Linked DNA regions of Oryzias latipes. The protein of the gene in region 1 interacts with the protein of each later gene in a biochemical or structural test. Links are inferred from orthologs where the notes say so. Each region holds a gene or a part of one and is shown on either strand. Other genes may lie near its edges.

What was found. The genes of interacting proteins can lie anywhere in the genome.
Region 2: the proteins of map3k7 (region 1) and nod2 form a complex in vitro, tested with the Homo sapiens proteins (2 studies listed by BioGRID). The link is inferred for Oryzias latipes from reciprocal best matches to the Homo sapiens genes MAP3K7 and NOD2.

What each region holds. Positions count from the first base shown.
Region 1 is NC_019882.2:20,581,833-20,585,332, forward strand, and holds part of map3k7 (mitogen-activated protein kinase kinase kinase 7), read right to left. Parts: intron 3,213-3,500; coding exon 3,088-3,212; intron 2,471-3,087; coding exon 2,342-2,470; intron 2,257-2,341; coding exon 2,126-2,256; intron 1,778-2,125; coding exon 1,696-1,777; intron 1,076-1,695; coding exon 954-1,075; intron 876-953; coding exon 734-875; intron 510-733; coding exon 429-509; intron 1-428. UniProt on the Homo sapiens protein: Serine/threonine kinase which acts as an essential component of the MAP kinase signal transduction pathway. Plays an important role in the cascades of cellular responses evoked by changes in the environment.
Region 2 is NC_019861.2:30,238,001-30,242,157, forward strand, and holds the start of nod2 (nucleotide-binding oligomerization domain-containing protein 2), read right to left. Parts: upstream 2,801-4,157; 5' UTR 2,721-2,800; exon of another isoform or gene 2,521-2,720; 5' UTR 2,443-2,520; coding exon 1,966-2,442; intron 1-1,965. UniProt on the Homo sapiens protein: Pattern recognition receptor (PRR) that detects bacterial peptidoglycan fragments and other danger signals and plays an important role in gastrointestinal immunity.

The sequences.
Region 1 (3,500 bases):
CTCAATCTGAGTGACAGTGTGGGCTTTTCTCCTCCATGTAGGTCTGCTGTAAAGTGAACCAGAAGGAAGGAAGGAAGGAAATCCTCTACGCTGGAAGATGAGGACAAACACAAAGCTCAGGAGTGAGGAACTGATTTTCTCCAGGATGACAGAAAGCAGCCACGAGTGAGAGCAGTCATCTTCATCAGCATCTGAGGAAGATGAGCTGAGCACTGATGGGGAGCTTAAGTTCTGCTTCTGCCAGATTAAAGCCAGAGGAAACACAAAGCAGGACTCTGCTGCATGCTACTCCATGAGGAGCACAGACAGAGGGAATGCTGGGTAGAAACTTAGCACCACATGGAGCGACGCACAGCAGAGCTACAACCACCACAGCAACCCAAAAAGGCTCCACCCGATCACCAGGAGGCCCACTGGTCCACAGGTACCTGTGACGACGATCTTGGGGACGTCCAGAATGGTTCCGTGGGACGCCGTTTTACGGTGGCCTCGCCTAAACTGTGTGGCTGCTGCAAAAACACACACACACGTACAGCTGCCAGCATGCAGACGGACGGGCGGGGTCGCCGCAGACATGCAGAGCGCAGACACATGCAGCCTGTGCGACACAAAAGCAGCCCCCCTGCTTCTGCGCTGGTTAGATCCAAGGGTCAGGGTGGGGCACAGGAGGCTACAACAACAACCTGAATCCAGAGCAGCACATGGGGGTCACGCTCCCCCTCTGTATTCATACCTGCAGGGGCAAACGCCGCCTTGGGCTCCAGCTCTGACAGATCTGCACTCATCCTCTTGCCGTCACCCAAGCAGAGAGTTCGAGCGGGCAGACTCTCCACGCTGCCCCCCCTGGACAACGGCAAAGACCTCAGAGGATCTACCTGCAGGAAAAGAGGAGAAGCCTCACTTGTCTGACGACCCCCCCTGATCAGGGTTCAAGGACAGGAAGGGAGCAGCACCTTTGGTTTGAAGGCCGGGAACTGAGGCGTGATTTTGATGGTGTCGTTGCTCCCCTGAGAGTCGCTGTGCTCCATGTTGGCGTCACTTTTGTTGCTGGTGTTGGTGTAGTCCAAATATGAAACTGGACAAACAGCAGACAGGGGGGGGTTCCTTCACATCAGAGCCCTCAACTCAGAAAATACTGTAGCAAAGACAGTCAGAAGCTCTGCAGTTCTCCAGGATCCCTCAAAAGACTTCAGTCCTCAAAACCAGGAAGTTAGAAACAGTCTGGAAAGCTTTTTCTAAGAATGAACTTTTTCTTCGCACAACAGAAGAGACCACTTTGAAAAAAACAACAGAATGGTAAATGTTCGGTTTGGTTTTCTAAATGCAGAGATCTCAGAAGGGTTTGCTGTAAATTTCCCAACATTCATTTGTTTTGAATGGACCTTTATTTTTGAAAGACATTTGAAATGATTTATTAATGGATTTTAATTTTTATGTAGCTCTGCAGCAAAAAACAAAACTAGAGTTATGAGCCGTTGTCTAAAGCTGTATCGTTTAGAGTTGCTTATAATTAAAAACAAAAGATTTACTCAAAAGCAAACAAAACAATATTAGATTATGGATTTGAATTGGATCAAATTAAATCATTTTCTAATCTGAGCCCTAAACACTGAATCTAGAGCTCAAAACCGTTTGTTCTGTGTTTGTTCTCGGCACTCCTCAGGGCTCTGCACGTGGACCTGCTTTGCTTGGTACCTGTGCTTGTTGCAGAGTTGATCTGTCCGTCATCGGAGTACAGGTACGGGTACTGCAGAGGAACGTCCGATTCTGGGAAATACTACAATAAATTTAAAAAGAAACAATCGGGTTAAAAGCCTGCAACAAAACTGGACGTTTCATGAGTCATCGTTTCAGATTTGACAACAAAGGTTCATTTCTTGAATTTGAGTTGAGCTGAAAAGAGTAAAAGCTCTGAACACATTTAACCCTTAAAGTAAAAATTTAAAAAAACCTAAAAGTTTTTTTAAAGGTCTGAAAATGTTATTAATGTGTCAGTTTATGACTGAAAAGGGAAAAACTAAAAGAAAAAAATGATGGATTAATGACTGAACCTCAGGTCCTGTCAGCTTCTTTTGTTTCCAAACACAACATCAGTAAAAAACTCCTTTATTTACAGATGGATCACCTTCATTAGATGACTCATGATCTTCACGATCTCCTCCATGGAGGGCCGCTGAGAGGGGTCTTTGGACCAGCAGCGAGTCATCAGGCTCTCTATGGGCTTGGGGAGGTTTTTAATTAACGGAGGTCTGGTCCCTGAATGGAGAAGAGACGTTGAAAATGGCGGCACGTCTTTCATCTGCTCTCCTGGTGGACTTGGCGAGGCCTCTGAAAGACTCACCGTTGTGCACCGCCCACATGATCCGGAAAGCCGGTCCTCCGATCTCGTCGAAGGGTTTTCTGCGGGTGATGACTTCCCAGAGGATGATGCCCCAGCTGAAGACGTCGCACTTCTCGCTGTAATTGCTGCCTGTGAGCGCAGAGGAAACGCCGCTGCTGAGAGGGGAGCTTTGATTTCATCTCTCCTTCAGAGGGAAGGGGGGGCAATATTTGCCTAGGAACAGCCCCTGTGTTGCTTCATTAGCGAGTATCTTATTGCAAAATGAAGGAGCAGATCAGAAAAGATCCTTCAAAGCGGCTGCACTGGGAGCTCCCATGCAAATTAGCAGCTCAGAGTTCACAGAGAGGGCAGCAGCGAGCGGCTTAATTGCACTGGAGGCTTGTAACTTGCCTCCCAAAACAAGATAATGACTAAGCACTAATTCATCTTCCCTCCTTCCCTCCTCTGCAGGAACGCAGCTCCTCGTTTAGCCAGACATTAGGCTCCTGGCTGAATTAGAACACAAAGTGTTGTTTCCTTGGGGAAATAAAGGGACCAGCATTAATCCATTCATCTTCTCGCCACGCTCGGTAGACTACCATCAATAAAGAAAAAGAGCGCCGCAGCTGGTGAGGAGTCGCTGATTAATGCGCCTCCGCTGAGACATTAGGACGCAATTAAGGTGAAGGGTGACAAAGCAAAGTCAGGTGCGAGAACGAGGAAAGAACTGAGGGCGGCCCGGGAGAATCCACCCCTCCCACACTTGCCTTCAAACACCTCCGGAGCCATCCACGCCGCGCTGCCTTTGTTGTTGGTCATGTGGGTCTGAATGTCACACGCGGTTCCAAAGTCACAGATCTTCAGCACGGTGCCTCCAGCCACCAGGAGCAGACTGCAAGCAGGGACCAACAGAGGCTGTGAGGAAGACGGCGGAACACGTGCTAACAGATGATAAATGCTCATCTGCAGAACCGTTGTGATAACTGAGGAAAAATGTTCGTCTGAGCAGAAGGTTCTACATCGTCAGCGTGAAATGAGCCAATGCTTCCAGAGGAACATCGTTTCATGCACACGTTGTGGTGGCCGAAACCAAAAAATGCAACAACTCTTGCACGAAAAGAAGAAGAAGTAGTGTTGTAAAGCTTAAGTTACAAAAATCAAAGGCCAACAACGACTGAGT
Region 2 (4,157 bases), on another chromosome or scaffold:
TTTTGCAGATGTTTGTATGCAAAGTGACTTAGAAATGAGGAACATGACGAGAGTAAAACTGACAGTCACTCATTTTAGGTTAAAAGTGCTTTAAAGAAAAATCTTAGGTACAAGAAATGTCGAGGAGTGGGTAGTTTTTTTTTTAATCTGTAAGAGGAGAACAGTCTTTGGCATGTACTTTAAAATTGTGCAACGGATAGAGAGTTGCATATCTCATTCGAGCTAAAGAATTAAGCTGCTGATCTTTTGTTGGGTGGTGCCAGGAACACCAGTTGTTGGGAAAGGTTGTGGGCGAGTGTCAGGGTTTAAAACACAAACAGGGCAGCCACAGTAAGCCAAAACAGAGTCAGAACATTGTCACTCACTCGGTGTACCCGAATTTGGTCAATTAAGTTTATAAATTCATGGCTCAGGTGCACCTAGAAGACATACAAACTAAGGTTTTTTACATCCCTGCTGACATCAAGAGGCCTTGTTCGCTCTACGCTTCCTTCAGAATACACAGATTTCAAGTATTAAGCAAAACTTTGGTAAAAAGTTTGACCTTCTTTAATTGCTCAGTTCAGTTCAAAGCACATATTGTCTCATGCTGCACAAAAATGGTTAGTATTTAAACAGAAGCGAGCTGCTAAAAAAACCCCACATATATTTATGTACTCTTTGTGAACTTTTTCTACTGGATCATAATGCAGTAAAGTCATGTTTATGTTCCTGTTAACAGCAGCAGGAAGAAAAAAAAGATGATATCTCACCACAGTCGACCTAAAAAATAAAAAGTGAAAACACTGTTTATGCCCTGAGTTGTTTGAAGAAGTACATTAGCTGCACAGAGCGTCTTTGTTTTAAAAGAAAGTCATTTGACCTCCTATATGAGCTTCTCTCAAAAGTAAAAAATATGTTCACATTTTGGGAAAATTCTAGTTTCTCTTTATATTCGTGTATATATCCATGACAAAAATGAAACAAAAATCATGTTATAAAAGTAGAAAGGACATGAAATTTCTCTTTTAATTAATTTTAATTTTTATGTCATGGAGTATTTATCCTATCAAACCTTTTCCAAGTCCTGGTAACTTTTATTACAGTTGTTTTTTTCTTCTACTTGGCACAGCAGAGAGCATCAAAAAACAGAGCATTAAAAAAACAAAAAGACACTGGAGCAGAAAAAAGATCAGAAAAATATAGCAAACAGTCAATTTGACTGCTATGGCCATTTGATCTTTATCTTTTGTGTGTTTTTTTTTAAATGACGTTAGAATAAAACATACACACAGTTTCAAAAAGTCAGGGTCTCATTAATCCATACGTTAGCAGGATTTGATGTAGCAAATTTTAAAAGCAGTTGAAACTCTCTTTAATGGTTGCTGGTTTACTATTTAAGTGGGCTGTTAGAGCTGCTACTGAGTGGAACTTCACCCCCATGACTATTAGAAATCAAATCACATATAAATCATTTAAGACACAGTTAAAGAAATGGCTCATTGACAATCAGAGCTGTCAACACTACGTACACTTCCTATCACTGATTACCCGCTACTATCTTGTCTTGTGTGTGTGTATATGTTTATGCATTTGTCCGATTTGGATTGTTTTATTGCCAATTTAATTTTAGGTTAACTACTAATTTTACTGAATGTATGGTTTAATATATGTATGTAATGTTATGTAAATATGTAATTTTATTTTGATCTTGTAAGGTGATTTTAACATCTACCCAGATAAAAAATTGAATGAATATTGACAGAAATAATTATTAATATGCGCTGTCCCTGTATCGAATAAATAAATAAAATCTAAAATTAAAAAAAACTCTTGAAAAATAAAGGAACTTTAAACCAAAGCAAAAAAATATATATTTAAACACTTTATTGTAATATTTTAATAAACAGTTGTAAAAATGCAAATACCTAAAGCCTGCCTACCCAATCAAGTCTTGTTCATTTGTGTTATCCTAAAAATGCTCACCTGCTGAGACGGGGTGTAAACAGGTAGCAGCACTTCATTAGCATCTGCAGAGGAGAAGTGTCCAGACTCCACAAGAGCTTCCACCGCATCATGAACGGAGCCCTGCAGTTTCCAGACCAGACTAGGTCTTCGTTTCAGGACCGTCTCCGTCCATGTCCTCTGAGTGACTTCTAGTTCATCCAAAGTGGATGAGTGTTCTAAGAAGCAAAGACCAGCCCCCTGCTCTTTTGGCAGAATCTGTTTGAGAGCAGCGAGGAAGAGCTCACAGGTGTCTGCACCCTTTGTGTAAACCAGGTCAAGCAGGTTTCTGGCATTGCTGTTCAGTGGTCTTCCTGTAACCTGTACGTTCTGGTAGTCCTCCCATGTGATCTCTTCCTGAGCCAGCAGTATATCCAAAATGCTTTCCAGATGTTCAGCTGACCCACCACTGCAGAGAGCACGCAGAATCTCTGTACGCTGCTTCAGCAAACGCTCCATGGCAGACGGGCTTTTTTCGCATCAGCTTCCATGCTCCAAGATTCCATCTTGGACTTGTGCTGCTCGCAACGCCCCAGCCTGCCAAACACAGATGTGATCATTCATGGCAAGAATCCACGAGTTTTACAATTCTCGCTTTACAAGTTTGCATTGGACGCCATAGGTAGACAAAACACAGCTCTTTAGTGATCTCTGTATGGCGTCCATCCACATGAGTCACATTCTGTCAAAACCTGAAGATATACTTGAAAACCTGCTATTAAAATATGATCTCTCACTACGAAATGTCAGCAATCGGGGCTCCTTCTCTCATTTGGGCGTCCTGAAACATTTGTTGGTGAGCCTCTGTCTGTCCTCTTCCTCATTCCACAACTGAAAGTGAAACTGGTTTTGCACAACTTTAATCAAAAGTAAATGTTGGTTAAAAAAAATAAAAACAGTTTGTCTGAAGTACTTCCCTGTTGGGGCGGATTTTGCAGCATAGATTTTCTGCTTAGTTCTATCACATGTAAACATATTTCTATAGCAGAAATGTGAAGGTTTCTTTATATTTTAAAAAAACTTTAAAGACAATGCTCATTTCTCCCTTTCTTTTATGTAAAAGCTGTGCTGTGTGGAACATGATCAAGTAGAGAGAAAGGTTTCAGAGACGAGGGTTGCAGTTTGATGCTGCGCCCACTTGATGGAACTGTTGCGTAATAAAAAAATCTAGCTGGTTTGTAGAGAAACCTGTGACTGGTTGACATTGGGGTTGACATATTTCTGAATTTCTGCAGCTATGTAGTTTTTTTTGTGCCTTTTTTATTTTAGAACCCAAACAAACTGTATGTGAAAAAAGGTGAATAGAAATGTAGTAAAATCAAAAGATGAGATACATAAATCATATTTTGCAATGCTTTTTCAATTTCTTTTTCAATTTCTTTCAAGTGGCTGGGATAGGCTCTGGCAGCCTTGTGACCCCGAAAGGGAACTAACGGAAGAAGATGAATGCTTTTTAAATTTTTTTTTTTTTTTGCTCCGTCCTGACCATGTGATTGTTTCGTTATCAGGCCTCTCTGTTCTGAAGGGAAACATAAATGAGCAGAAGAAATCAAAGATAGCTTCTTTTCAGCTCCTCACCAAGAAACAGGCAGCTCCCCCTTGGGGAGTGTAATGCAGAGTACTACCTGTAAGGCATCCTGTGTGAAACCTAAAGGGGGGATACTGTCATCTAAATAACAGACAGGAGTCCAGAGCAGCTTGAGAGACTTTAAAAATAAGGTATAAAGTCACTCGTGCGTCAATTTATTCAATTCAATTCAATTTTATTTGTATGGCCCAAATTCACAACAACAGTCGTCTCAATGGGCTTTGTATCGGGAATTGAAAAAGTGAAGCATGAACTCAAAAGGATCATGAATACATAGAGTTCATTAGGAAAAATACTAAAAGGAACTAACAAACTGACTAAGCTATACTGGCATCCCTGCCCTTAGACCCCCCTTCCTGGTAAGGAAAAACTCCTAAAAAACCGGATTCCGGAAAAAACGAAAACGATCATTTTAATGTTATATGCGTGCCGTATACATAATATAAAAGTTATACATCGGTGATACATGTGGGAAAAGTCTGTTGGACATACATGGAAAGCCACAAATCTGCGTGTGCATCGTGTAAAAATCATGCACAGATTTACTTATTGATTGCGTATAAACTACGTAAAATACACATAAACT